2 linked regions of the Oryzias latipes genome follow. The protein of the gene in region 2 purifies or fractionates together with the protein of the main gene of each other region. This does not show direct contact. Links are inferred from orthologs where the notes say so. Each region holds a gene or a part of one and is shown on either strand. Other genes may lie near its edges. The genes, in order: cul1 and fbxw5.

Evidence for each region.
Region 1: the proteins of fbxw5 (region 2) and cul1 purify together in Homo sapiens (affinity purification with western blotting; 9 studies listed by BioGRID and IntAct, with this or other methods). This does not show direct contact. The link is inferred for Oryzias latipes from reciprocal best matches to the Homo sapiens genes FBXW5 and CUL1.

The regions. Positions count from the first base shown.
Region 1 is NC_019878.2:3,213,697-3,229,537, reverse strand, and holds the start of cul1 (cullin-1), read right to left. Parts: upstream 7,782-15,841; 5' UTR 7,625-7,781; intron 1-7,624. Other genes in the region: uncharacterized protein LOC111946577, read right to left, coding at 9,182-9,226, 9,420-9,496, 9,578-9,661, 9,743-9,801, 11,117-11,511. UniProt on the Homo sapiens protein: Core component of multiple cullin-RING-based SCF (SKP1-CUL1-F-box protein) E3 ubiquitin-protein ligase complexes, which mediate the ubiquitination of proteins involved in cell cycle progression, signal transduction and transcription.
Region 2 is NC_019870.2:12,257,384-12,273,240, forward strand, and holds fbxw5 (F-box/WD repeat-containing protein 5), read left to right. Parts: upstream 1-6,770; 5' UTR 6,771-6,993; intron 6,994-9,423; 5' UTR 9,424-9,432; coding exon 9,433-9,619; intron 9,620-9,720; coding exon 9,721-9,878; intron 9,879-10,106; coding exon 10,107-10,290; intron 10,291-11,068; coding exon 11,069-11,217; intron 11,218-11,300; coding exon 11,301-11,639; intron 11,640-11,718; coding exon 11,719-11,902; intron 11,903-11,979; coding exon 11,980-12,124; intron 12,125-12,230; coding exon 12,231-12,443; intron 12,444-13,276; coding exon 13,277-13,562; 3' UTR 13,563-15,269; downstream 15,270-15,857. Other genes in the region: prdm12 (PR domain zinc finger protein 12), read left to right, coding at 825-1,015, 1,102-1,257, 1,539-1,653, 2,030-2,481. UniProt on the Homo sapiens protein: Substrate recognition component of both SCF (SKP1-CUL1-F-box protein) and DCX (DDB1-CUL4-X-box) E3 ubiquitin-protein ligase complexes.

The sequences.
Region 1 (15,841 bases), on a different chromosome or scaffold from region 2:
TTTTATAATCTGCAACATGGAGAATCTCTAAACTCCATGTGGAGTAGAAGAAGAAAACATTAAAAGAGCTAGCCACAGCCAGTCATCTTGGCCATTTTAAAGCTGACTTTAAAATTTCTATAATACTCTAGAGAATTATTTATTATACTGACATTAAAGGTGTAACAATTAATTTGAACAACAATTTGATTTAAATTAGCTAGTTTGTGGTTGACGGTACGATTCATAGTTTTATTAGTTGATTTTGGACGATCCGATTCACTGACCTACAATGGATCTAGTACAACTTTAGCCAAAATTTAAACCAGTGTGTAAAAAGGGAACATTCTTAGTGCACTGTCACGTCTTTGCTAAATTCAAAAGTTGTTTCCACACATTGGACTGGAATGATTGACTGATCCGTTTTTGCTGTCATCACATGTGTGTTGTCCGCTGTGATGCACTTGGTTGTTTTTACATTATAGTAATATTAACCTATCGTGTCTCAACCCAACTGGTATTTTACAAGATTGACAGAATCTTGACTTTTTTTTTATAAATGGTATAGGTCAATTTGATTAACAACTTGCCTCAGACAGTTGGATCTAGAATCTTAATTGATTAATTAAGTCAATAAATCATTACACCCCTAACTGACATATATATACGATTTTAGGATAATACGTTATCTTGATCAAAGCGGATGTACCCAGAAGGCTGTTGTACTGAAAAAGCTCAGACGGTCTGATTTACAGGGGAACCGAACAATTTCAATGCAACTTCAGACCTGCTTCCATCTCTGCCCATCCAACACAGCCCTAATGTACTCACAAAGTCAAGTCTACATAGGGTGTTTTTGCAGTTGTCCTCGCAACTTAGGATACTTTACCCACCAAAAAGTCATCAAACTTGAACACTGAAGGATTTAGTTCGTCTCTTATGAGTCTAATCTCTGGTTGTAAGAATGCTGTCCTTCACCGGATCGCTCAGATCAGATTTCAGATTCCCACACCAAGAGACACCACACATGTACTCCCCAGTATCTGACCTGAAATCAGTTACACAGCCCGGTCATAAGGACCAACAGAGTCATGTTGTGAAACTAGAATCTCATTCCTCTTGATCATCATGAGCACCACGTCCAGGACTGTACTTCTTCATCACGGCACTGTAAAACATTTTCATTTTCAAGGAACTAATAAAATGAAATGACATTTTATGACTAAAGAAACAAACCACATAAAGACAGTTAATTTTGAAGCACTTCCAGCATAACTGCACATTTTTATTTTATCCTACTAAAATATATAGATGAAAAAAAAACTGAAAAAGGTAAAGTTGTTTTAAAATTTGAAGCAGCAATCCTCAGTTATTGACATTTCCTTAATAAAAATTTAAGTACATTATTTAGTACATTAGAATGTTTTCAGGTCATACTAAGGGTTTTCTTCCAATAAAAATACATGTTATTTTTAAATAGAGAAAACCCAGAATAAGAAGATTTGGTAGAAAAAAGTGGCACAAAACCCCTAAGCAGAGCTTTAAGAAAATCTAAGTTTTTTAGTCATTTATTTTAGGAGTTTTTTGTCAGTAGATAAATGTGTTCAATGTATTTTAATTATTTCTATGATTGCACTTTCTGTAACTAGTTAACTTCTTTAGTTAACTAAATACTTTATTTGTAGGTTTTACTCTGAAGACAAAAAAAAAAGTAAAAAATTATCCGTAAAAGTCATAAATTGATTGCGCTGTCGTTTGCTCCTATTCATCACCAACATGTAAATAAAACCGCAGTCTGCTATGGAAACAAGGTAAAGTTTGTCTATCTTCATTCGAGCACGAAACAGCAAATCTAGTCCTCCATGCAAACAAGCAGCCTGACAGCTTTTTCACTTGAGTAAAAAACGTTTTAAAGGGACAGCAAAAACTTTTGGTTTTAAGAAGAAAGAATAAGATATTCTTAAGTCTATAACCAGCTAATAAAGACAGGTCAAACATTATCTTTTAGATAATAAAAAAGGTAACACAACTATTGCTGCGTAAATAATGCATTCATTGGATTTTCACTGCAGGATTTCGTTCTTCAGGGCAGCTGAACTTTAAAGGTTCATCTAGAAAACAATTTGCTGCTCATCCAAGTATCTTTAGTTTCAGCAGCTGATGGAGAATTCAGGTTATTTATGTGCTGACTGCTACAGAGTTGTTGCTAAAAGCAACTGGACGTCACATGAACAGATGCAAATGATTCAATGCTGATCAGGGCACTTGTTGGTGGGTCCATTGTTTATCTGTGGTGGATGAATATAATCATAGTCTGTTGGCCAAAATTTCAAAACAGGGCTGAACATGGGAAACAGGAAATGTTTCAAACTCCTACATCTGTTATGAGAAGATTTATCCATTTAAACATAGATGCTTTCTAACTTCCTATGTAAACCATCAGTCCTCTGTCCTAAATGCGGTTGTTGTCTTCAAAGGAGAGTTCTGTGTCTTTCAGTTGGATTGCTGAGTCCTGACTTAATGCTATGCCTCTTCTGTTCCGTGCCAGACTAAAGTGGCATCCAAGAACAGAAGCCTGTGATACCATGACCTGGATGACTGAGAGACCTCAGTCAATTTTGATTCTAAAGTTCAAGATTAATTTTAATGACACATCTTTTGTCATTTTTTAAATTTCCATCAAAAATAGTTTGATTCTGAAAAACAGCTTTCACTCCTTTACCAGCCAAATCTGCGAGAATGTATTCTGTTTATTTGCTGCTTAAATCAAATCAGTTCTGTTCATCTCCTATTTAAAATGGAGATTCAGTGACATAAAAACGAACAAATATTTGTTTACATAAGGAAAACTGTAAATAACCAGTATAAATGATGTGCACAGTAAATTTTTGATGACAGATGAACTGAGTAGTACCAGCAAACTCAATAAAATCTGCCATTTGTCCAACAGATTACGTTTCCAAAGGGTTTATTTATTTTCAAATGTAAATCTGACAATTTACACATATCTAATAATCATTTAGGTTAATATTGATTTTTGTATGTTTTTTTTCATGCAAAAACAGCTCTTAAGTTTGTTTCTGATGAAAAAAATATTAGTTTATGAAAAATAGTTTCACACTAGTTTTTTTAAATCCCCTGCTACGTTAAAAGATTTTACAAACAGTCAATTTTGGAATGAAAATTAAAAGACATACACCAATATTGAATTAAATTGTGTCTATTTGTAAATGATGTTATGAACTAGTGAATCACTATTGAATCCATTTAATACAATGGCTATGAGACCCAATCCTAATGATTCTAGATGGTGATTGATACACAGACAGCCAAAGCTCTCCTGCATTCAGTTTCCAGCACAGTTTCTTGGTCCTGTACCATGATGATGAGACTTTTCCTGAACAGGGTGGATGCAGGGAGTGGTATAATAACCAGTCCAGGGTAGGAAGAGGCAGAGCAGCGCTCGTGGGGGGGAAAAAAACTCAGCTCAGTAAATCTGATTACCCTCGTCACCGTGTGTCCTGGCCAGACTCAACAACCTAATACCCTATATTTGGAGCATGCATGTAAACCACAGCCAAAAACGACTCAGAAACCAGCCAGGGCAGTGCCGACTCACAACAGGCAAACATCTCAGGCTTCATTGAGAGATTACTCTTGTTCCTTACAATAACGTGTAACCTAAATTATGGATGATTATGTCTCTATTGGGTAATAAAAGACTTTTTCTTTTATGTGTTTCATTACCTTCAATTTAAACCTACATTTATGCGTGCTGTGTAAAGACTATTGAAACGACAGAAATTGGTTACAGCAGACACGGTTGAATAAAAAAGGTGAATAAAGGTGTTTGGAAAAGAGAGAATTTAAAAGCAAGGAACAACTTCACAAATAAAGGATCAGCAAATAAGAAGAAATAGCAGTCTCCTCCCAACCAGAAACTTCAGAAGAGGCTGGATATCTACAAACTTCACAGAGCAGTTCGTGTTTCCCTTCACAACAGCCCATTGACCCAGCCAGTGTAGCTGCAGTATGTCTGTAAACAGACAGGATGGCCTTTTCATGGCTGCCACTCTGGCTGCGCATCTTAAATTTGATGTTTTTATGACTGACACAGAAAAGTTGTAGAACTGACTCATGAAAATGAATAAGTACTCGGCTGATCACACTGACTTACAAATGCAGAGCCACTCAAGTAAAAACTATAGAGGTGATGCGTGGAGAGCAAGTCAGCCAACAACATTCAGCATGTGCTGCACACATGCTGCTTGTAAACATCACTCAAGAACTCTCTTTGCTACAACTTTCTTTCACAAATGAAATACAAAAAACAGTTCAAAGCCTTAGAAAAACAGCAATTTGTTGTAAGACACACATAAAAAGGTAAGTAAACCTAAAAAGGCAGAAAATGCCAGCTGGCAGTCGGTGTAGGCAGTGTGTGTGTTGGTTTTAGATGAAGGAAGCTGATGCTGCTGACGAGAGTCTCCTCAAACTGACACATTCCACAGGAGAAGAAGAAGCAGATGTTCAGAAGGACAACAGATACTTCTTTGGCATTTTTTATCTCTATAAAAAGTTTTAAAAAGACATTATAAAGTTGGTTTGTTCTACATTCAGTTCCATCTACAGTTGAAACCAGAAGTTTATATATACCACATAAAAAAACACATGCATTTTTCTCACCGTCAGACATGAAATAAAAGTAAACTTTTCCTGTTTTAGGTCAATTACCATTAACAAAATTATTCCTATTTTCTAAATGTCAGAATAATGAGACTAGGGTTTAAGACATTTTTTTTATTACTTATTCAAAGTCAAAAGATCACATACGCAAAGATCACAATGCCTTTAAACAATTTGGGAAACCCCAGATGATGATGTCATCTCTGTGGAAGCATCAGATACGTTTATTGACAGCATTAGAGTTTATTAGAAACACACCTGTGGATATGTATTAGGGCACATTTAAAAACACTCTTGCTTGTTTGTAAAACATCATGGGACAGTTAAAAGCAATCAGTTGAGATATTAGGAAGACAATTGGGGATTTGCACAAGTCTGGTTCTTTCCTGGATGTATTTCCAGATGCCTGGAGGCGCCACGTTCATCTGTTCAGACAACGGTACGCAAGTATAGAATCATGGGAACGTCCAGCCATCATATCACTCAGGAAGGAGACGGGTTCCTTGTCCCAGAGATGAACGTACTTTGGTCCAATATGTCCAGAACAACCCAAGGACGAAGGCAAAAGATGTTGTAAAGACGCTGGCTGAAGATGGTAAGAATGTGACATTATCAACAGTGAAACGAGTGCTGTACAGACATGGGCTGAAAGGCTACTCTGCCAGGAAGAAGCCATTACTCCAAAAGAAACGTAGAAAAGCCAGATTCAAGTTTGCTAAAGCACACAAGGGTAAAAACTTTAATTTTTGGAGACCAAAATAGAACGGTTTGGCCACAATGACCATCGTTATGTTTGGAGGAAACATAAGCCTGGGAACACCACCCCAACTGTAAAACATGGGGGTGGTAGCATCATCTTGTGGGTTTGTTTTGCTGCTGGAGGGACTGGTGCACTTCACAAAATAGATGGCATCATGAGGGAAAGAACAGTAAGTGGAAATATTGAAGCAACATCTGAAGACGTCAGCCAGAAAGTTTGGGCACAAATGGATCTCCCAAAAGGACAATGACCTGAAGCATACTGCCAAACTGGTTACAAAGTGGCTTAGGGACAATAAAGTTTTGGAGCCTGGACCTAAATCCTATTGAAAATGTATGGTCAAAGCTGTAAAGGCGTGTACACACAAGGCCACCTACAAACTTGGCTCATTCACACCAGTCCTGTCAGGAGGAACGGGACAAAATTCCTACCAAAGCTTGTGAAAGGATATCCAAGAGGTTTGACCCAAGTACTGCAGTTTAATGGCAATAGTACCAAACACTAAGGAAATGTATGTTACCTTTTGACCTTGATAAAAGTAATAAAAACTTGTCTAAAAAAACAAAACCTAGTCTCATTATTCTGACATTTAGCAAATTGAAATAATTTTGTTAATTATAATTTACCTAAAACAGGAAAAGTGTACTTTAATGTCATGTCTGATGGTGAGAAAAAAAGCATGTGTTTTATTGTGGTGTATATACATTTTTGGTTTCAACTGTAAATTAATCCACGCATTACATACGATTCACTAAAAGTAAATAATCAAAACTCCACCTCCTTGAAATACAGAAAATTTATGCCAACCTGATCAAGCTTGGAAAAGCAATTTCAGAATACAATATCATACATACCATGATCTTTTTTGTTTATCGTTGAATAAGTAATCTATTGTCACTGGAAGTTCAAGCTATCAAATGTAAATGGGGAACACAACATCCCTAAATATACTTTTCCATATGACCAGTCAGAAAAAGTTTGAAACCTTAAAAAAAGAAAAAAATCTAGTTTGTTTTTGCAAAACAGCACCAAGTCTTTTCCATACAAAAGAACAATAACATCAAGGAAATATAAGCCAGTCTCTAGAAAAAGGCCTACATTTAAGTAAAAACGTTTGGTATTTGTTTTAATAATGCTTAATCAAATAATCCAGGGCAAGGAAGAGTGTGAAAGCCTTTCAAATTAAGATGTTTACAGTTCTTTCATGTGAATTTAAACTATTATTTCGGTCTCTAGTTATAACAATCCCATTTTTTAATTTAACAAAGTATCTGAAAAGAGCAAATATTTATTCATAAGCAAGAACATATGAAACAGATGTGGCTTCAGCTCAACTACAAGAGCAAAAACCACTTCTAACTTTGTCTTAATAAGAAACAATATTTTAAACAAAGTATTTAAAAGAAAAATTGCATTTACATGAAGAGGTGGACTTCTACACCCCATCATATGGAAGACTACCAACGAGTTTTCTCACCTGTCATAAAAACCTGTCAGGAAGTGATGAAGCGTTCATTCATTAGGGGGTGACAAGCCAGTGGTGTTTTAAACGGAAAACACCTAACAATGATCGTAATACTGACGTGGCTGGACACAAAGGCTGGGCTGTAAATTCAGTCTGGCATTCAACCCACACCTCGTCATCCTGGGCAGAGAAATAATGCTCAACGGCGCTGGAGTGTTTCAGGTTGGAGTCCGAACACGACACGGGAGGCGGACAGCGAGCGAAAACAATCCAACTAAATACGCTGATATCTAACAATTTACACTAAAGTTGACAACCACTGTTGTGATTATAGTTCAGTGTGCTACGACCGGAGTCTGACACTGCTACGCAACACCGCTAAGACTCATTAGCCGTCTCGGATTAGCTTGTTAGCCCGACTCACTGTTTGGCCCCTGTGTGAACAACTAGCCTTAGATTTACGTACGATACTTGATTTATACCGCCATTCCTTTAAATATATATGCTCCTTTTATTATATTTAATAAGAATCGTCTCTGTCGTGCCAGAAGGCATCAATCGAGTCCTAAGTGCCTTGTGTAAAATGGCAGCCTAGCTTCTTGGGCTCTTCAATAATGAGTCAGGAAAACACTTCGCTAACCGCTTAGCTTTAGCAGCTAGCGCAAAGCTAAGCTGGTTGTCGTTAGGAAAAAAAAACCACTAACAGTGAAAACTCAAAAACTAAAACGTCCTCTTACCATTTTTAGACTGTCGCTGTGGCTGTATAATCGCAGAAAGCGGTAATGTTCGGCCACGGAACGCGTCTGGCCCGGCGTCTTTCTGGTCAGTGGGTCTGCCTGGAGCGGGCTGCTAGCTGCGCTCGTTGTGCTGCTTCGTTCACACAAAGATCATCTCAACAGCCACCAGATCACGCCGCCTTCAGGTGCGCTCCGAAAGAAGGACGATCTGATGAAAAGGTCTCTCAAACTCGAAGATAGACGGCTCTTGTGAAAAACATCATAAAAATATGCATGTTAATTTGAAAAATAGTTGCCCATTAAAAAAAGTCAAATTTAACGTTTTTACGTTTCATATAATATAATTTGGACTAAACTAAATTAGCAGAGTACATCAATAATAATACTGTTATACTTGATCAAAAGTAGTTGATATGATTGTTAAAGACAGCTTTTACACTGTTGTTTAATCACAACACATTTCTTTACCACTTTAACAGCTTTGTAATATTTAATACTAGAAAACTTTATTGACCAAAGGGATATGAACGTGAACAGTATACTTGAAAATCCACCAAATCTGACAGTATTTAACCAAAATAAAGACTCTTATGTGCAGTTGTTTTTATTGTTTTTATTTATTATGCGAAACAAAAACGCTATAATTTACAGGGATTCAGTGAACGCAGCATTTGTGACGTATAAAACTACAAATATGGCGAATCATATGTTCTGGACATTTGGCGCATGCGTAGTTTGTTGTTTTAGTACCATAACGTACTTTTCAAATGTACTTCGATGGCAAAGTGGCACCTGTGACATTTAGTTTTATTTGCGTTCGATCTGTTTCTTAAACGCATTAACACAGATGTGACGCACTGAAACCAACCGTTTCCGGTTGATATACGTGCTGTTGGTTCATTAGGGTGTCACCATATTGACTGTATCTGTATCCTTCAATGATTTTGACACGATTGCTGTCAACTTCCTGTTAAATATTCCGTCAGCGAACTTAATGTTCTCTGAACGTAAAGTCCTGCCCTGCCACTGACGTGCCCTCATCACGCAGAGCGCGACCTCTGCTGGCCGACGGCAGAACAGCAGAAGCACAGTGTCAATCAGCTGCAAATGAAGAGGATTTTGAAAAGACACTGCATGTCTAAATATCACAATTTTTCTGACAATTAGAAACGAGTCAGTATTTTAGAAATAAAATAAAAATCACATGCAACAACAACAGCTAAACATAGAATATATCTAATAATGTCTTCCTGAGCACCTAAACACAAGAAAAACTGTGTCTAACTGTGTCCAAACAAAGCTTTAGCACCGTGTCAAAAACATATTTTATTGTTTTATGTTGCAGAATGTCATCAATACAAATGAACATAGATACCTGTGTATAAAATACAAAAACACTGCAAGCTAATTAACATGTCCAAAACAAAATACATGTGTGTGACTCATACAGTTGTGCAGAAGGACATGTTTTGTCAATAAGTAGCTGTATAGTTGCCTACAAATGTTTGATCTGAATGATAAGTTGAGCGGATCCAGAGAAGAAAGAAGATGCAATGGTCAGCTCGTCAGGACAGCTGCCTCCTCCACCACCTGCTTCTTCATCTGAAATAAGAGTCAAGATAGGAGAAGACACCTTCAGAAAAAGGGAGCTGATGGAGAGTGAAGCTGCAGCATCTGAACTTTAAGGAGTTTTTCCTCAGCAACTCTCCGTTGTTGGTGCCATTACACATGGATTTGCATTGTCATGCGTTTGCTGGGATTAAGACATCAAAAGCCCGAGTGCAAACCAGCAGACCTGTTTCTGTTTCCTCTTGGCTTGCATCATTTCCTGCTGCTGCTTCAGCCGTACTTCCTCCAGACTCATGCAGCCACCTGTGAAGACAGTATGAAGGGGTGCTGTCAGAGAGAACAGTTGACACCATGAACGTGTGGCGTTGGTCACGGCGCTCTCACCAACACTGCTGGGGTCGATGGACACATAGGTCATTGCTCTGCTGAGACGAAGCTCCTCCAAAGCAGCAAGCTCTGCCTCCGCCTCTACCCAGCCAAAAGTCATTCAGAATTGAATGACAAGCTGAGAGTTACAACAACGCAAACATGAACACAAAGAACACTCACTTTTCTGGATTTCCCTTCTCTTCTTTGGGTTTGGTGGAATGACGGTGAAGGCTTTGTTACTGAAATGGAAAACATCGAGTATTTACAACATTTTTTTGGTCTTGCTCATCATTTTACATTTGAATCGTATGAACTCCAAAGTGTTTTAAAGAACACAAACAAATGAAATCTGTTAGTTGTTTAGATATAAACAGAGTGATGCAAATGCAGTTTACATCATGAAGTAGATTTGAGTGACCAACTGATAAAAATCATCTGCATTTGTAGAATAATCTCTTCTTCATCTAATACATCAGATGAATTTGTTGTGTAACAGAACAAAGGTTGTTGGGTGAAGATTATCCAGGGAACTATTCAGTCTAACTTTAGATTTTAGCTCCACTGTCACATTTACACCGCAGATGTTGTGGCTGTGTAGACCTAAAAACACCAGTTTCTGAACAATGAGGATGATGATGATGAGTTTGTAATTATTAAAAACTTGAGTTTTTCTGCTTCTTTTCCTATTAAAAATGGGTTTACTATTTTTGGAGGGTTTGGGCATTTTCCCCTTATATCCACATCAAAGAGATGTTGGATCAAAATGAAAATTCAGCTATGAAAAGTTTCAGCGTTTTCTCTGGACATGAAGACACCTCACTTTTTACTAAATTCATTAGAGACCATGTTGAAGTTAGTTAGGATTAAATGTCTATAAAATTAAAAAAGACAGCTTAGACACAGACATACCAGAGGAGTTATAAAGATGTTGTCTCTGGTTGAAAACTCTATTTTGTAAAGATAATAAAAAGTGAGTGACATACATGCTTTGGCCTGCAGGTCAGTCATGTCAGCGGGTGGTAAAACGTGTGGGGATTAACCCGCTGCAGCAGATGGCCACACACAGCAGGACTGGCCCTGCATTTGCAACAAGGCGCTGCTCTGCAGTGCTGGGTGCACTCAGTCAGAATGAACTCTGTGCTGGCTGTCCTAATAAAGTCCTTTTTTTTTATTCCTTTTTTTTTTATCATAACACCCACATGGAGTTTAAATTAGATGCTTTACTGATGCTTCCCCGAACAAAAACTACAGACATTTCTGCTATGAGGTGTTTAAATTATGTTTTTGTGGAGCAATTTAACATTTAGTCCAACAGACAAATAAACACATCAGTTTGTTAGGAGAAATGAGACTGAAAGTGTAAAAAAAGTGTTGTGAAAAGTCTCGGAGGTAGTTCACCTGGATGTAAAGTCCTGTGTAGTTTCAGTCATGAGAAATTACATTATTTTGCACAGACATACTCCCGGCAGCAGAGAATCACATCTTTAGGTAAATGCTGTGAACCCCTGCTTCCCTGTCACACTGTTTTCCCCAGGTCCATCTTCACTGCCTCACCTCTGTATGAGTAGTTTTGCCTCTCTGACCCCCTTCTGCTCCTTCTGACGTGGGCACGCGCTCGTGGCAGCGCCTTGTCTCACGGAGCTTGTCGCCCTGCGCGTGTCCGGGTTAGTTCTGGACCCATTCTCTGTGGGTTTGGGAGCAGTGGACCTAGTTCTCCTTTCGCAGCTCGGCCTGACCTCCTCCCTCCTGTCGGCGGCCTTGTCGCACCTGCCGCGCGGCAGCTGCTGCGCGCTCCTCGGGCAGCTCGACGCGCGGTTTTTACGCACAGCGGCCGCTTTAGGTTTACTGTCTGCGGCGCCGGCTTCTGTCGCCCTTCCCGGTTTGTGTTTGTCAATGCTTTTCTTGGTTGCCTCCACTGGCTTCGCCTTGATAACCTTGGTAGATGGCATTTTCTCCTAAGGCGCAGCTTCGGGCTCAGATTTGCAGCAAAGTCTCGTCATCCTCGTCATCTGCTCCAACTATTAACTCAGTTCAATAGTTTAAGACGGAAAACCTTAACTTTTCCTCTGCAGGGATGTGGTTGTTAGGGAGTTTGTACCCTAGCAACCCCTGAAAAAAGTCTGACCCATAAAAGCCCAGCGCTTCTGGTTTGGACTTTCAAAGTAAACGGCCCCATTCATTAGACAGCAGTCACATTTAAAACTTTGAATTTCATTAATTGAAATCTGAAAATATCCCAAAACAAACAAAAAAGGAAGACATTTTGAAGGAAAACTGATAGAAAGGTTTTCCTTTTAGTCTATTTAATTACACAATTAACAAATAAATTACCAGTGAAATAGTGAAAAGTCAAAAAAGTGTATAAAAAACTCGTTAAACTGCTGCAAGTCTTGATTTTGTTTTTATAACTTGATGAATTTTAGATTCACAGAGCAAAGCATTTAGAACATCATCTCCATACATTTCATGTCTCTGCTTGCGGTCCTCAACTGTGTGATGTGTTTTTCCCTCCATCCATGTTTAAACTTAATTATTAGCTTTATTCCATTCGGGATCAATGGGTTGCTGGAGCCTATCCATCTGAAGGGTGAAAGCAGAGTGCAGTTCACCACAAACAACCACACAATCCGCACCTAATGGACAATTTAGATTCACCAATTAACCTATGAAGCATGTTTTGGACTGGAGGAACCCCGAGGCATTTACAAGGAGAGCATGCTCACTCCACACAGAGAGGACCCAGTTTGGGATCAAAATTAGAGAGTGATAACTGATACCGTGCAGCCTATGTGATCGTTTTCCCAAGAGCTTAAGATGATTTGTTTTGTTCCCACCATTCTTACCTTGTTCATGTATTATTTTTAAGTATCAGCAAACAACAATTAAGCAGGAGCTGTGCACTTGTGCTCAGTGGCCCTCATTTCACACTGCTCACGCTTGCTTTTCAACATAAATTTGTCCAGATCTGCAGGTATACCACTGCTGATATGGGATAGTAATTCCAGTAGAATCCCCAAAAACTATCCTGATAAATGTAAAATTAAAAATCCCATTCCAGAACTAAACATGAAGCATGTCAGGTCCTGTCTTGTTGAGGCCCCTGAGCCTGTTGCCTCCACACCACCATGTTCTGAGCTCGATTCTTTTATTCTGAAAAAACAGTTTCGTGTTTCCTGCTTGATGTTGCGTGAGCGACCTCCCGCAGATTACGCGGCGCCACGCAGCATAGTGTTGGTCCGTGCGCCTGTCTGTCCAACCACAGAGGCTCATCGGATTACTGACATGGTAATCTGTCAGGGTCACGTGACCAAACTCCGCCTGACAAAAGAGCATAATCATGCATGACTTCAGAGAGAAACGTGTTTATTGTTTGATTGATTATTAATTTCAATCTATTATTTCATATTTTTTTAAGTTTTTATTTTTCAAGTTTAAGCTTTCCCCCCTGTTTTCTAGTTAGTTCTTTCATAAAAGACTAATCTAACGCATCAGTAATTTAGTAAATGTTCAAAAACAGAAATCACATTAAAATGACTCTGAGCCCAATGAAACTGCAGAATCCAACAACGCCATTACCGCAGACAAACTCCAGTCAGAAGTGGTTTTGACTTGTTAAAATGCATTTAAATAAAAGAGAATGACTTCAAACAGAAATTCAAATGATTCAGGTTCTGTTTAACGTTTAACCAAATGTCAATGGTCAAAAGAGGAGCTAAAGAAAGGTGAATAACACGTTTGCTGCTGAGAGAAGTTTCCCAAATCAACTCAAGTGTGATGGTTTGCATTTTCCCTTGAAAACTACATGAGTGGTGCAGTGAGCTGCACGAGACGCTCCTTCAGTCACGTGGACAGTTTCGTCATATTCCTGTTTTTTCAGACCCCACAGATTTTTTTTAAAATCTTGTCCACCCCCACCCCCCCGCCTCTCCAGGCACCCCAAGTGGAGTCAGATCAAAGTTTTTGTTTTTCCAGAAAGACTGTAAGCCTAGAACTGAATCCAGCTTTTACACGAATAGAGTAGAATTAGATCCAAGAATGATTCCAATAGATTCGATAGAAATTCATGTGATTTTCATGATTTCATAACCTATCAAGATAATTGTTTAAACGATGATGAACTGGTCCGTCTGGTTTTACGTTGCTGTAAAGCAGAGCAGTTTGTGGATCGGAACCAGTTGTGTGCAGATGTGCTTCCAGTTCTGTCATCTTAATCCTGGATCGGTCGAACCTCTGACCAATCAGAACTGCAGGTAAACGTCACCTGGGTGTTAATGCCGTCGTGTGGGTTAGTTCGGTCCCGCAGAGATGTGAAGCTGACTGCAGCAGCAGCCGGCGGGGTCTCCCCCCTCACAGCTGACGGAGTTGCGTGAGTCAGCGGCGGGCGGCGCGGTCCTCCTGAGCTCTGAGTGGTGCTGTCTCGCTTCTGTCACACTGCTTCCTAAACTGCCCTCAACGCCTCCCAGCAGCGGACCAAGCAGGCCCCTCCAAGCCGCTCCACCGTGGGCCCTCGCCGGACCGATTCCCTCCGCAGTCCCGGCAGGTGAACGGTACCGCCGACTGGATCCTCCCGCGCAGGATCCCGGATTATTCACGCAGCCCTCCGCGGGGGGAAGCCTGGGCTGTGATGACAAACCCAACAAAGTGCGACACGCACAAACCCCAGCGGGCCTGCTCTGCGACGCAACTTGGCTGTAATGGCTCTCCCGGGGGTTTCAGGGGGAAGATCGTAGGTGAGGCGGCGGGAGTCATTGTGTGAGGAAGGCGGCGGCCGCTGCGCTCTCAGACGAGGAAGTGAGGCTTTATACACGCCCATCTGAGCCTGCTCACAGACAGCCGGAGCGCGCATCACACACCGCTGCAGACCTCTCCAACATGCGCTCGCCTGCGGATGGACGCCAGCAGGATTAGCACCAACAACCGCGTTTTCAGCAGGTAGGGGTCCTACAGGCTTTACGCAGCGCGCGCGGACTCCAGCTCCCCCAATGTTTTCGCCGCGCAACTTCTCCGGCGCACAGGCCTGTCTCCATCTTTTCTGTCGTGCGTGATCTCTGGCCTAACTGTCAACCGCGCGTGAAGCTCGCGAGCATCTGCCCAACACGCACGAGCGGCAGGCCGCGAGCCAGCTGTTCCAGCATCTGGCTCGCGGCACCTGCTGCGCGGGGAGGATGCGGGAACGCTCTCCGTGCGTTAAAGCCAGAGATAACGACACCTTTGGGCCTAGACGTTTACCCCCCTCTGCAGGGAAAGCCTCTGATGTTGCCTCTGTCAGGGGCAACAATGCAGCAGAAAGTTTAGACAAACCTCGAGATTCACGTTAAAAAAATCTTGTTGGGGTAATTTTAACATTTATGTTCATATTTTTAAAATCAGCAGCAGCTTTCTGACATTTATAACATTAAGTTCTTCTCATAGCGTTATCTTAATATGCAACTCCAGTTCTGAGAGATGCCATAATATTAAAGCACAGACACTTTGCAATAATTGACAAATTGGTTAAAACTGCTGCAGTCAATTTGACTTTTTTTTAACAAACTAAAATGACAAAGCCATAAAGCCACATCAATAAGAAATCCTTTCGTCCATATAAAATCAAAGATAAATACAAAGATGAGAAACAACTTTTACTGCTCAAACTTCAACATCTTTAGTTATGTTTCTGCATCTGGACTAATTTCATGCTTTTCAACAATATAGCTGCTTCTTAAGAATAAAAACAATGTTCTCTATTAAAGATGTTAAAGCACTGATGGTGGATTCAGAAAAACATGTTCAGTGCACACTTTAACACTTTAAACTCTAAAAACAAACATTTGAAGGGACCTGTAAGAGAAGAGCCAGGTTATAGCAGATATTTTCATAGATATTATCTGTGCTTTTTTGTTTAAGAAAGTTTCACCTCTTTGACAAACTATGTTAAAGTTAAATCTTAATCTTTAATCAGACATTTAGTTAAATTACTTAAATACAGCTCAGCTTCCCACGTCAGAAACCTCAGTTCCAACCTCCACCTATAGGTGGCGGTAGCTGCAAAAATGCCTACAGTTTTTTTCTGAAATGTCATAGGAGTTCTGCATAAAGGAGCTTCTGACTGTTAAATCATCCATCATGATTCTAAGATTGGAAACACTCTTTATGTCATGAACTTTATTTGTAGCTGCTGCACTTTCCTCTTCTTTTCTTGAATCAGCGGTTTGCAGGTTTGAGTTTTATATTGAACAGCCAAGAACTTAAACATGGAGATAGGCGTTTCATGTTAGATTTTATCTGGACAAAAGTTAC
Region 2 (15,857 bases):
TTGACCTGGGAAAGTTTTCACTTAAACCTCGCGCAAGAGAGAAAAGAAAAAGAGTGTCCGTTCTTTGAGATGTCCAGAGGTTTTTATCCCGCATTCATCAATCTCCGGACAGTCTCTTTTCCTCTCTTGTCAGCTATGGGGCTCCCGAGCTTTTCTCTTTCTCTCCCCTTAAAAGATTTGCTGTTCCTCGCATAATGCAGCGTGAAGGCTAAATCTAATGCTATTCATTGCATGTCAAGCATCTAATCGCCTTTCCATTTTTTTGTTGCAGAAATTCCCCAGCCTTTTAAACAAGCCCTCGTTTCATTCAGCGCAAATTTATTGCTACAAAGTTCTTAAAAGGATAATGAATTTGGAATTAGCCGTTCCTTTTCCAGTAAACTTTAATGAATATCACATCTGAAGCATGACAAATTGCTGGACCCTGCGCAATAGAGGACCATTTAACCCCCATTCGGCGGGGCTTTTTCTCCTGCAATCTTTAAAAGAAATCTTTGATTTTGATCTTAAAGGCTCACCTTTTTATTCTTCTTCCTTTCACCCCTTTCTGCTGCGAATAAAAATGCTTTCCGAGGGGGTTTTTGCACAACAAAAACCTTCAATTCAGCCAGATAATCGAATTAAACGGATGATAAGGTGTAGCTTAATATTTCGTGACTGAAATACGATCCAGTTCATTTGCTGCTTTCAGAACTTTTGAAGGAAAAAAAAGAATAGTCCAGAGTTCTGGAGTTGCTGCGCATCACAAGCTTGCACTTTTTACCTTCAATCTGAAGCACATCTATCCACTTCTTTAACAAAACACCAAATTTCTGCTCTGACAGAAGTGCAGAAGCTGTCCAGCCTGGTTCTGCCCAGCGAGGTGATCATCGCTCAGAGCTCCATCCCTGGAGAAGGTCTGGGCATCTTCTCTAAGACATGGATCAAAGCAGGGACTGAGATGGGGCCCTTCACGGGGAGACTCCTTTCCCCTGAACACGTGGATCTACTCAAGAACAACAACCTCATGTGGGAGGTGAGCAACCACAGTCTGACTCCAACATGTACGGTTTTCTGTAAAACTTGTTTCATTGAAATTGTGTATTTGTTCTTTGAGCTCAGGTGTTCAACGAAGACGGAACGGTGCGTTACTTCATCGATGCCAGCCAGGAGGACCAGCGCAGCTGGATGACTTACATCAAGTGCGCCCGGAATGAGCAGGAGCAGAATCTGGAGGTGGTGCAAATCGGCAGCAGCATCTTCTACAAGGCTGTGGAGGTGAGAATTCCTCAAGAAAAAACTTTCAGTTCCATTTCGTTCTGGCTTCAAAAGTGCAGACTTTGCGCTATTTCTGCTCAAATGACTGAACAAGCACTGTCATGGATGGAAGGAAAGGCGCTTCCAAACTGCAGTATTTCCGTGTTGCTTTTTTCCCCTTAAATGTGCAACTTCCAGTGCTGGCCTTCAAAAACGGAAACCCAAAGAACAGAAGGCCTCAAAGAACCTGTTGCGCAAAAACGCACAAAATAAATAAAACAATACTTTTCCCTTGTTCTTAGACTATTCCACCAGACCAGGAGCTTCTTGTCTGGTATGGAAACACACACAACACCTTCTTGGGAATTCCCGGAGTTCCAGGAACTGATGAAGAACATCACAAGAAAAACAGAAATGGTGAGAACAACCAACCCTTCATCTGTCATAATGACTAAAACGTATTTTTGACGCACTAAACTATCCATATTTTAACTCTTGAAATATTTGACAGTTTTTACTCCTCCCAAGTATGGGTGAAAGCATCTCTACCATGTCGGATCATTTAATGTTTGATTTATAAAAAAACATGTTTCCTGTTTCTCTTGTCTAATGCGCATGTGAACCAATAAAAAGTTGGAAGAAATCTTGTTTTATTTCACTTATATGTCTGTTAAAATCAGAAATCTGTGGTTAGGGTTTGTTTTTGCTTTCTAGAATCCAAGAAAATACAAACAACTTGACTAATCCTGCATGAAAAACGTTGCAGATTTATAACACTCTTTTTTTCCCCCAGACGACTCTCACGCCCTTGATGGATCTTCCTCCTCCTGCTCTCCCTCTTCTTCCTCCTCCTTCTCCTCCAACACCACCACCAGTGGGCGGATGCGCTGCGTCATTTGCCACCGCGGCTTCAACTCCCGCAGCAACCTGCGCTCTCACATGCGCATCCACACTTTGGACAAGCCGTTCGTCTGCCGCTTCTGCAACCGCCGCTTCAGCCAGTCGTCCACACTGCGCAATCACGTGCGCTTACACACCGGCGAGCGGCCTTACAAGTGCCACGTGTGTCAGAGCGCGTACTCGCAGCTTGCGGGCCTCAGGGCGCACCAGAAGAGCGCGCGGCACAAGCCGGCGTCGCCCGGCGTGGCAGACGCGGCGCCTCAAGCGTCTCCTCCTCCCCAGCAGATGACTGCCAGGGCGCACCAGATGCCTCTGGTGCGGCACATCCCCACTGTGGTGCTATGATGATTGTCACACGCGCGGAACGACGTTGCACTTTAGGCCCAGCCCAGGACTGTATCTGCAGCCGTAAAGCGTGCTCTTAAAATCCCTTCATGATGACTGTAAATTTCAGATTCCTGCTATTTTTGTTCGGTCGTGGCCAAATTACATCGTGGAAAAAGTTGATTTTTGTATTTTGGAAGCCTAAATATTTGGTCAAGATGTCTTTACTTTTAGTGACGTCATACTTCGGTTCAGGCTGACAGTTTTACATCCAGTAATCTTTCAGCTTCATCTCATCCCACCAGCTCAGGCCTGTCCTCCGTTTTGTACAGTTCCAGTTGTCACTAACATTGACTTGGAAGAAATATGGAATTCTAAAGCTGCATTTGTACATGTGAATGTAAATACCGTTGTTGATTGAAACAAATTAAAGATGCAATATTGTAAAAAAAAAATCTTTCTCCTGCACTTTTCATCCAATGTATTTCCCCTATAAAAAACATGACAGTATGATAACTCGGATAACTTCACTTGATCCTTGAAGTAGATTTCAAACATCCCAAATGAGAAAATATGTTGAATGTTTTTTAGTCTTGAATTTGTGTTATTAAAACGCATTGGGAAACTTTAATCTTTTAGCAAGATTTTTTTTTAAAATGCGTCCCTCATGAGAAAAAAAATCCCCCCAAAATTTGAATTATTTCCCGATGCAGATTATTTAAGATCATAAACAAACTTTTATGGCTTTAATTTTCAACAAAGCAAACAAGACATATTGCAGAGCAGTATGAAAATGTGTTTAGACAAGCATCTCCAACTGCTTTTTATGAAGCTACTCTTTGACAAGTAAAGCAATTTGTTGATTTTCTTTAATTTTCTAGGTTTTCTTTGCAATTAAAGAAAACTAATGTAACTGTTTTTAAATTGAAAATTCAAGTAGTGACACTGATTATTATATGATTGAGTTTTTTTAAAGGAATTTAGTGATCAAAGACAGATTTAAGGTGTTGAAAATGTTTTTGACTATCTAATAGACATATAAAAAAATATAAACGTGAAAACATTGTGAAAAATTATTAAAATTGTGAGGTTTGTCATTAAAAAACTGAAAATCAGTCTTTATCCCACTATGTGAGAAGGACTGTCAGGACTACAGTTTAAATTTTAAAAGTGTATCAAAGTAATTCAGAATCACTTTTTATAAAATTGCTTTACTTAAATTACTCAAATATTACAGATGGGGATTTCAATGTGAAAAGTTTTGTTAATTTTTTTCATCTTCACTGCGTAGAAAAAATGTAAAAAAAAGAAATTCTCCAAAAAAACAATACTAAAAGTTCTGAAAAAATGATTTTTTTCAAAGAAATTATTTGCAAAATAAAGGACATCAAAATAACATTTGCAATATTATTCCAAGTGCAGTTCCAGTAAAACACTGAAATTCAACTTTCTGATTTACACAGATATTTACTTCGACGCACGACAGCGGGAGGAGTTGTGGATATATTGTTATTCAGAATGATTACTGTTCATCATTTTTTATTATTTTGATTTATTTTGATGTTACTTTTCATCATTATTAAGAAAACTGATGAATAGCTCATTAACTTGGAATTGTCAGCGATAGGGCATAATTGTTTGATGCAGTTGCATCTTATCTCCACGAGATGGCGTCAGACAACAGATAAAAGCTAGACAAGCAGCTAGGTCCTCTGATGGAGGGACAAGTTACACATTTAGGTGAAAAAGACAATCACACAATCTGAGTTTTTGTTTCCTTTTTTTCTTTTTTCAAACAAATTTGTGCATTAAGGATGTAAGGCTTACAGTATCCAGATGAATGAGTCGCATAGTGCACTTATATGCTTTCAGACTCTATCCACCTTCCAAATAGGAAGTTTTCAGATAGGTCGTCATTATTTTAAGTGCAGTGCAACATATATCAGATGTACAGCCATTTTTGAAATCCTAAGTGGGAAGGCATTCTTTTGTCAATGGAGATTTGCTTTTATCCATCCTTCTGAGGGCTGTAACCAGAAGCTTTTCCATTTCCACAGACTGTCCACACCGATTCTCCTGCACAACAGGAGAAGTCATTAGGTCATAGGTTCTTTAAACTTAAATTAATTATTTTACATATGAAAATCACCTTTACACTGGTAACCAGTTGATGTTTTCTCTTTCCCAGAGGATCCACAGCAAGAGCATACCCACACAGCTGCATTGTGCAGAGCTGAAAAAGGCCAGGAAGGGTCTGGATGTTTAATCAGCCACACTGAGACGATGCAGGAACAGGTAATCTGATCCTGTTCTTAGATTTCACAATTTTTAAAACAGCATTTAATGCTTCAAAATAGATTTTCTTAAATCCGTTAAATGTATACTGTAAACTTAATGGCTTGCCTAAAGCTGATACAGTTTGTAAAAATTGAGCTCAACAAATACTATTTTTGCAACAGAACAAATATGTTTCAGAACTCACCGGAAAATATTAGTCACAGCATGGCTCCTCACATTAAAATGTCTTTTTCGTGGTCTGTATGGAGATGCAAGTCCTCAATCAGTTATATGTCTTCCTTTTTAGTGCACCAAACCCAGAACACAGTGACACTGCAGTGTATCAGTCACAGAATCTCCTGTTATCCACTTACAGATGTTGATGCGCTGAACCAAGAGCTGCCACACGCGTAAGGTGTACAGTTACAACTTAGTGCTCCAATAGGTTTATTAAACATGAATGACAACATTGGTCCGGAGAAAAAAAAAGGAAAACCAGGTGACAATTTATTGTGACTTCATTGATGTGTTACAAGTTAAAAAGATCTGCTTTTTGTCTTTCTTGAAGAAGTTAATCAGTGATTGTACTTTTTTGCGGTGCTGTAAATACACTCGCTGGTCGCTTTATTAGGAACACCTGTCTAACTGCTCATTAACATAAATTTCTAATCAGCCAATCACATGGCAGCAACTCAATGCCTTTAAGCATGTGGACATTGTCAAGATGATCTGCTGCACCAAGCATCAGCATGGGGAAGAAAGATTATTACGTGACTTTGAATGCTGGTCTTAGTCTTTAAGAAACTGCCAATCTACTGGGATTTCCATCCACAGCCATATCTACAGTTCACAGAGAATGGTTTGAACAAGAGACAATATCCAGTGAGTGACAGTTCTGTGGGTGGAAATGCCTTGTTGATGCCAGAGGTCAGAGGAGAATCGCCAGACTGGTTTCAGCTGATAGAAAGGCAACAGTAATTCAAATAAGCACTGGTTACAACTGAGGTCTTCAACCAAGAGCATATCTGACGGCACAACACATCCAACCTGTAGACAGAGTAGCTACAGCAGCAGAAGACCACACCAGGTGGCACTCCTGTCTGCTAAGAAGAAGAAACTGAGGCTCACCAAAATTGGACAATAGAAGATTAGAAAAATGATGCCTTGTCTGATTATTCTGGATTTCTGCTGCCACATTCAGATTGTGGGGTCAGAATTTGCCTTCAATAACATGAAGGCATGAATCCATCTTACCTTGTATCAACGGTTCAGGCTGTTGGTGGTGTATTCATGTGGGGTACATTTTTTTGCACACTTTGGGCCTCTTAGTACCAATTGAGCATGAATACAATGCCACAACCTTCCTGAGTATTGTTGCTGACCATATCCATCCCTTTATGACCACAGTGTAACGTCTTCTTATGGTGACTTCCAGCAGAATCATCTCAGACTGGTTTCTGGAACAAAATAATGAGTTCACTGGACTCAAATGGCCTCCCCTGTCACCAAATCTCAACCCAACAGATCACCTTTGGGATGTGGTAGAACGGGAGATTGGCAGCATGGATGTTCAACCAACAAATCTGCAGCAACTACGGGATGCTATCATGTCAATATGGATCAGACTCTCAGTTTTGAAGGCAAAAGGGGGTCCAACCTGGTACTAGCATGGTGTACCCAATGAAGTGGCTGTGAGTGTAGATTAACACAATAAAAGACCATGTAGAAGTCTGACAACATGATTTAAAAATGATTTAATTTTAATGATTTAAAAATTTAAAGTGCAGGTCTAGTTCCACTTAAAATGTGACAAGGGTGAACATTACAAAAATAATAAAATAAAATGCATCATTTGTTCCTCTTGGGTCGAGTAAAGCCTAACTTGTGCATTAATGTTCTTATTCAAATATATTTCACATGGGAAGAAAAAACTTCATAAAAACTTTATTTATAAAAAGCACGTCAAATAAATATGTGAATGCCGAGGGGAATCATGGGAAGAAATAAACATCAGTTTATAGAATCCTTAATACAGCAACTATAAAGAAAGTAAAACAAAAAAAAAACAAAATAAAATAAAAAGGAACTAACTTCAAGCAGCGAAAAGATTGAATCGATTGAGTTGGTCTTTCCGCATCGATGCCTCTGCTATCTGCTTGTTAAGCTCCGCTGTGTTGCTGGGCGATTGTTTTCATTTTGTGCGGTTAGCCTTCAACGCAGCCTAAATGTTTCTCTTCAAAAAACTTTGATCAGCAGGTGAGTCACATTTCACATCGCTTGTTTTTTAATTGAACGCAAACTAACTCGTCAACTCGTGAGATGACACTGCCTGTTTGGGAGCCAAACCGCGTCTTGTTGCGACAATTTAGCCTCGTTAGCTAAAAGTTGAGACAAATGTCAGCTAGCAGCTAGTTAGCTCTTAACAAGTTAGCCGGTTTAACTAGCTAGATAGATATATTTGTTTGTTTTAGCTGCAAAGAAATATCGTAAATCGATTAGAAACGCGCTAAAATTGATATATATCCGAGTAGTTCATGTTGACACATACGATAACCGATTTTGCTGTTGGTGTAAACAGGATAAGGATTCACCATTGAACTACATAGAAAAACAACTCTTCAGCAAAATATGTTGAGCCACACAAGCTATGAAGGAAAACGTTTAAGACATTAGTTATTGTTATTGTAGTTACATAAATAAATGGGGTAGGGGGAGGGAGAACACACTTTAAGAGTTCATATATTCATCTTTTTTATTTTTTATTAAGAGTTCCGTTTTGTTTTTGTTTTGGCTTAGGACGCGACTTTCTGAAGAACTAGAAGAAGTAGAAAAATTGACTCCCAAAATTTAAAGTTTGTCCAAAACCGGATTAAAAGAGAAAACTCTTATATGACAGTTAGTTACGTTTTGTTTAGCTGTTGCTTTTCAAACACGAACAACGAGTTTTATTTTTGGAACATTTATTGCCAAAACTGGCTACATTAGGAACGCTTAGATGATAGATCTACTGGCCCGAAAAGCAGCAAGATTTTATTTGTTCTTTAGCATCTAATAGTTGGGAAGTGCTCTGAATAGTTTCATTATGGCATGAGAATTAAACATTTTAAGTAATTATATATAGAGGACTGTAACCTTTAACAGTAAAAGAGCCATTTGGTCCAGTTTTTTACTCACCAAAACCCAACAAGAGCTGCAAAGTCTCACTTTGTTTAGAAAATACCCTTTATTTATGTTTTTGTAACCTTTAAGCCATTTACTAATAAAATGTAGTTTTTATGTATTTACAATAATTTAATTAAGACAGTGTGATATTTTTCCTATATATGAATATTTTACCGGTAATTTATTTTACTCTAGACAAATGCACATACGAGTTCCTTTCAAAATAAAACACACCTTGTTTAAATAAGATCCTTTTGCTGCAGCAAATTTACTTAAATTAAAAATGCAAGAAAGTAAAGTCAAACATGGATTTTATTTTTTATAATTATCTGTTTGGTGTTTCTTCATCCTTTTTCTCTTGAATATAAACATGACAACATTAGGGAGCCTCAGGTTGACGCCTGGTACTACAAAGTAGCATTTTTTTGTGATTTTTAAATATCAATTATTTTTGATAGTTTTGGATAGGGTACTTAAAAATACGTTTGCTGAAATGTTTATAGATATACCCAAATGTGCCATGATTAATAGCAAAGGGAAAGGTTTATAAGGAGAGATTGATACAAAGAAAATTATTAGGATTATTTAGTAAGTTGATGCAAACTTTAAAGTACTGCTTTTATTGAAAGTTAAAGGCCCATTAGTTGTCATACACGTACCTTGGTGTGTGACATTTGTTCTCTGCATTTTACCCATCCCTTTGGGCAGCAGTGAGCTGCAGACACAGCTGTGCTCTGGATTTAACCCAAATCCAGCCCTTCATGCTGATGTACCGCAGCTCCTTCATTCCAACCGCTGTTGGACTGGACAACTAAACAGTCTTACAACAGATGCAATAATGGTTTATTCCTGACAAAAACATTCAATGCTCTACTGCTTTTTTCTTTAGTTCCGGGGCTTTTCATTTTCTCCGTCAGTTCATTACAGTGTTTATAATGAGAGTTTTTGAAGAATTGTATTTTATTTAATGTTGTTTTTACCTTACCTGTGATTGTTTTACCCATTTTATTTTTCCTTGCACCTTAATGCTTGATCCCCAGAGCTGCTGTAACAATTGAATTTCCCCACAGCAGGATCAATAAAGTTCATCTTATCTTACGAGTGTAAAGCATACCCTATTTTTAGTCTTTGGTACAACTCCACAGTAGATTTCAACTTACAACCTTCCTGTCTCAGGGCAGAAACTGTACCACAAGGCCACTGAATTGGTTGGTTAGTTTCAAATCTTTAAATTAACAGAGAATAAAGGCTTCATTCGGTTGCAATAAAACCATTTTGTTTAATTAAAAGTCAGCTTGTGGTCTTTATTAGCAGAAGCATGGCTTTGGTTCAGCTCAGTAAATTTCACAACACTACATGTTATTTCTGAATGTGGAGAAAGAGATCTGCTGCAGAGCTTTGGAGAAAAGCCAAGCTGAGTGGAAAGAAATGAATAGGAACAAGTTACGTACTTAAAGTGTGTGTGTTCTTGTGACTCAGAAGCAAACAGCCATAAAGCTAACATAAAGTACTCGTGTGTTTCAGGATGTTAGGATGGAGGGCTGTCTACTTCTGCCCGACAGCTTGGTTTTGGAGATCTTCTTGCGTCTGTCTCACACTGCCGTGCTGAGAGCTGGTCTGACCTGCAGACAGTGGCAGGCCGTCTCCAGAGATGAGTTCCTGTGGAGGGAGCTGTTCTACAACTACTACCGGATACCCCGCTCTGTACCTCGACACCCCTGTAAATACTTTGTGTTTTTCTAGGAAGCATTTCAACTAAAATGTTCTAACTTTTTTTTCCTCAAAGATACACGTTTAAAGTAACTTTGATTCTGTGTGCAGCGGCTTTTTCCTGGTACAGGGAGTTCAAGCGCCTCTATGACTGTATCCCCTGTGTGGAAGTTCAGACGCTTAGAGAGCACAGCGACCAGGTTCTACACTTAGCTTTTTCTCATAGAGGTCACCGCTTCTCCTCCTGTTCCAAAGACTGCACAGTTAAGGTAGGATGATGTCACTTTTATGTTGGCTTCCTTTTATTTTCTGTCTCCCAAAGTGAGCTGTGACTGTTTGATCCTAAAAAAAGTAACAAAACTATTAAACTTCACGACAGAAGATGCGTTTTGTAACTTGATTAGAAAAGAGACACTGTTAGTTTCCATAAAAAACTCCTTTACAAGATAAATCAAAGCGATCCACTTTTTTGTTTTAAACCCGTCGTATTCTTGCAGCTGTGGGACACGGAGAGGCCAGATGGAGTTATTTCACTGGTACACAGCTCAAGCATGCGCCAGTTCAACTGGGGCTACACCCAGTTCTCCCAGTTCAACGCTGACGACAGCCTGCTGTTGGTTTCTGGAGTCTATCTGGGCCCTCACCACTCTTCGTCAGGGGAAATCGCCGTCATAAGCATGGGTATGAATTTAAAAAAGTGTTTTCTACATTTATCTGGAGGATTGATTTCAGATTTCACCTTGGTTACAAATAATCTTTTTCCCCCACCATAATGTATTTGTGATTATTTTTAAAGACTCCCTCTAAAAATCGTATTTTTGACCTTTTTCTGATGATGGTGGACATATGTTGGGAAAATAAGCTTCAAGTTGCATTTCTGAGTATTTCTTTATGCAAATTGTTGTGATTCAGGTGCAGACAAAAAAAAATCCCTGCTTGATGCCGCTTTGTTGAGGTGTAGAAAATGCACTGACAGGGTGGGCCACAAGCTGTCTGGTCTGCCCTGGAACAAGGAGGGGAAGGGGGGCGGGGTTGCTCCACGGCAACTGTCCTGCCCACAACTCAAATTTCTACTGAACTACTGCCGCTCTGCAGAAACTATGTCCTAGAAAATTATACAGGTTTTTTGATTTAGGCGAAAAACAGCATAATCATAATAAAAAAAAAGACACTGGGAACACTGGGAAAAAACCCCAAAGATGATCAGAGGAATCTTTAAGCAAATATAACAAAAAATGTAAACTCAGAATGAGTAACATGTATGAAATCAATCTAAACTTGTTACATCTAACTGAAATACAATATTATGTCGCTTCCAGCATTTTCAGGATGACAGTCAAGCACAAAAAAACAATAGAACTATTTTAGGCCGATTAATTTTTTTATTTTTTCATGGAAAGCAAATTGTAGAGGTATGAGATTTGTTGCTCATCCGTCTCATTTCAATGCACCCATACAGAAAACTACACACTGTTGTCGCGGGTTAGAAACAAGCCGTATGATGTCTTTGGCTGCTGGTTAAACGAAACTCACCTGATCTCTGGAAACTTGCACTGGATCGGCAACATGACATCCTGCTCGGTTCTCTGGCTCAACAAAGCCTTCCAGGTGAGACAGAGCCAGAATTTTCTTTTAATATTCGTTCTTTGCTAAAGTCCAAACTACAAAATAACATATTTTTCTTCTTTTAGGACATCGAATCAGAAAACGTCAATGTGGTCAAGCGCCTCTTCAAGATCCAAAACATCAATGCCAGCACCATTCGTACGGTGATGGTGGCTCACTGCCATCGCCATGACAACCCAGACCTGCTGCTGGACTATGAGGCTCAGTCTCAGGCCAGGAGGCAGAAAGGAGAGCAGCATTCTCAGCACCAACCGCTCCTCTTCGACCTGGGAGCCTCTGGAAGTGAAGAGGAGCTGGAGGAAGGGGAGGAGGAAGAAGAAGACTATCATCGGGACTCCAGAGGTCACAGCTTCTCTGCCCGTCGTCCCCAATCCTCTGTCTCAAGCCTGGAGCAGGTTATTCATGTAAGATAAACGTTTAATGAAGGCGATTTTTGCCATATATTTTGGCTTGGAAGCCCATTCTTACTTATTTTTCTTTCAGAGTTGTAAAAATGTAAGAAGCAGTGATCGAGAAATCGAGTCCAAGGTCGCTCAGATGATGGGCCGAGTCCACACAAAGGCCCCTGAGTCCAGCCTCATCCAGTCCGCTGAGTCTGCGGAAGATGAAGACAAAACGTATTTACTGTTTACCACCGGCAGCCTTACATACTCTCCTCACCAGATCGGTAAGATTTCAAATACTCCAGAGTAAATAGATACATCTCAGTTTAACTCTCATGCGAGTTTTTTTCTCATCTTCTAGGCATTAAGAGAATCAAACCAGACCAGATGACAACTTCTGGTCCTGTTCTTGGGGAAGAGCGGAGCTCAGAGTTTTTTGATTCCCTGGACCATGTTATTGATATCCACGGCCACATCATTGGGATGGGATTGTCACCGGACCACAGGTAAAGATAATAAAACCTCTCAAGTGCATCCTCAGAACACAGAGCCACGCCATGAAGTAGGAAAACAGCAAATTCTGAGGCGTTCTCCTCTGCTGTCACTACTCAGGTACCTCTATGTGAACAGCCGGGCGTGGCCAGCGGGATGCGTCATCTCTGACCCCATGTCTCCGCCTCCCATCGCTGAAGAGATAGACCTTCACGTCATTGACCTGAAGAGCTTAAGGGAGGAAAGGAGGAGCCTGCGGGCTCACCGGGCCTTCACACCCAACGATGAGTGCTTCTTCATCTTCCTCGATGTCAGCAGAGACTTTGTTGCCAGGTCAGTTGCCATAAATCAGCTTTTCAGACAAACATGCTGGTCCTTTTAAAAAAAATGAATAGCTGGTTAAATGATTTATAACAATGCAAGAAGGAGTTTCCAATCACAACACCCCACGTTTTAATTTCCTGCAGAAAGAAACACCTCTGCCCTGTGGGTGGTCATGTTTCCAACTGTTGGGGACTTTTTCTGTTGAATATACCAAAAATAATTAAAAGAAAGCAAAATTTAGTCAACAATTTCCCAAAATAAAAAGACAAGAAAAGTATATCTTACTCATTTCATTCAACGCTTTTTTAACTTTTGTTTTACTTTAGAATTTGCGCCATTAATTCATCTTTAAAACAGTTTTTTGGGGTTAATGCCTAATATCAATCTTTTAGTACAACCACACATATATTTTTGATTATTTTACTCAATAATTCAACAAGAAACCCGAGATTTTGCAAAATTTGTCTTTTATTTTTCAGCAAAAATTGAGCTCAAACTATTTTAATGTTTTATAAAAAAGAGCAGAGACAAAGTTAAAATGAATAAATCCACACACAAAATAAATAAAAGGTCAAAAATGAGTGAAAATTGTCTTAAAAAAAAAACAAAGTTGGGGGGAAGGTTCATCAAATTTGCAAGGAATTATTCCAAAGGTATCAAAATTTGGTGTTATACTTGTTGTGTTTGTTTTAAACCAAAACATTCAAGGCTAAAATCATGCTTTGACTTAACTGTTAAATTGTTAAAGCGCTTTGAGCGTCTGGAAAAGCACAGATAAATCTAATCCATTATTATTATTAATTGACCTCCTGACGTTGTATCCCTGCGATCTCCATCTGTAGTGGAGCAGAGGACAAGCACGGCTACATCTGGGACCGACACTATAACATCTGTCTGGCCCGGCTGGCGCACGACGACGTTGTGAATTCGGTGGCGTTCAGCCCAGCGGATCAGGAGCTGCTGCTGTCCGCCAGCGACGACTCCACCATCAAGGTGTGGCGCTCGCCGCGGATGGTCCGTCTCGCTCAAGCGTCTCCTCGGAAGCTGAGGCACCGCAGCCTCCTGCCGTCGTGGCTCACCCGCACCAGAAACTCCACAGCCGCCGGCAGCGTGAACGGAAAACCCTGAGCCCGGGTGAAAATCTCTCTGGGAGGTATGGAGCAGGGTGAAGAAGCCTGGTCACCCCGCCGGCCAAACATACACTCCATGTTTGTGTACAGTGTGGTTACAACTTTGTGGTTTTGCTCGAGTCTCTGTAGTGACCTAACGCCATCAGGAGACGCGTGACTCAAGTCTATACACAAGGGGGCGCCGTTGCACCACACAATGGAGAAACCGCTACAGAAACTGCTGAAATGAAGCATAGCAGATGGAAACAGTCATGTGTTGCTGCCTAAATGCACATCACCAATGTCCCGAAGTGTCTCCTAAGGTCATCAGACTGATCTACAGAGGAAGCCACTGCTGCAGTACAAGTCATGCCAACTGCAGCCGTTTCTTTCTCCATCGTCCTCATTATTGGGCCGGTAACTGATTTATGTTTATTTTTGCCAATTCATAGAAAGATTTAATATGTTTCCCGATTAAAACTTTGCAAATCCTGATTCAAAAGAGTTAAAAAAAAAAAAAAAAAAAAGGAGAAAGCCAGCTTGAGCTGTATTCCCTGTGGTCTTCCTTGGTTTTACGGTTGTCAGGTTTTTATGCTTTTGTGGACCCGGAACTATTGTTCTTTGTAGATTTATCGAGTAATTTATTCCAAAAGATTTGTCCAGGAGTATTTGGCGTAAAGCATGACTGTATAAAAAGAGGTCTTTGTAGCTGGTTGTTACTCCCGTCGGTGTAATATGAAAGTGTATTTGTAAGCCTCCTTATGAGAAGAATTAGAATTTCTTCTAAGAAAGGAACCCCAGAAACTGATGCCTGCTTGACGGTCTAAATTAAAAAAGGGAGATGCCAGCGACTTTTCAACTGTCACTATTTATGTGCACAACAGGCGCTGGAACATTTAAAAACATAATATAAATGTGGCACAAGATTAAAGCATTAACTCTACACTTTGTTTTTTTCCTTTAACGCAGTTTGAGCTCTGATAAAACTCACCGTTTGAAACTTTTTTATGTTGTAACTCTCAAATTAACACAAAATGCAAAAAAACCCAGACTTTATCATGATAATAAATGAATAAAATGAGAATAACTATGATGTTTTAGGCTGCAAAGATGTAACACAGTTTTGTAAGGAAGGTAGAAGTGCATCCAGCAGCATATTCACCCACACAGTTCATGGAAGGAATGTCTTCAAACTTCACGTTTCAGGTCAAAGAAGCGTTTTTTAATGTCACGTTTGACTCTTTTGCTATAGAAACCCTTGAGCCCTTTAAAACGTGCAGCGTTATCAGTGACAATTGCAGCTGTGTGATGTGCTTCTTTGCCCAAAACATTCTCAAAAAAACCCATCTCTTAATGCGCGGGGGAGTAGAATATTTTAATGTTCTCTGCATTGGAGCATCTTTCTTTACATTCATGCTTCAAAATCTTCTCTCTCCCCCTTTTATGAAAGTAATCCTCTTTTATGAATATACATATTTAAAAATCCCTGAAGTAAAGATAAAGAAACCCTGCCACATTGATGTTTCTCTTTACTGTTGATCAGCTTTTAGGTTTGTAGGACATGTTTTTAGATGAGTCTGCATTATTTGGATGTCTCCGATGCCACATTAAGACAAAAAGAAAATCATTTGTGTACCTCAGGTCTGAAAATGTCTGTTTCTAACTGCCGAATTTTCCAGTTTCTGCAAGTCGATGTCCTCACTGAATAAAAGCTCTTTGAATTAAATGTGTTCATTATTGTTTAAACAACTCAAATTTTATTTGGAGCTGAATTTAAAAAGAAAAAAAAAAAATCAAACAAATCCCATTCCCAATTAATTTCTGTAATATTTCTCAGGTAAAATAAATAGCTTTTGCATTCAATTGAAATTTAAGAATTTATTTTAATAAGAAGAAATCTTTATTTAAAGTCACTAGTTGTTTAAAAATATTTTTTTCATATTCCCTAAAGGAAGTAAATGTGACAAAGTAATATTTCATCAAACTGCATTGAGCCAGAAATTAGTTGTAACTGATGAATTCACTTTTTGAAGTGACATCCAGGTCTCCTCTGCTTGTAGTTTTTAGTTATCACTATGATGGAATTCTGGATAGATTTACAATAACCCTCATCTTTAAATCTGTTGTATTTGACTGTTTTAAAGAGAAACAAAAAGATTTTTTGAGTCCAGACTAAATAAGACGGTAGGAGATGCTCATAGTGGACATTTGTCTCCTCACTTGATTGAGGTTTTAAATTTGAAAGATAATAATCCAAAAACTGGTTTGTACATGAAGTGCTTCATCCTTTCATTTTTGACTTGGCAGTTTCTGT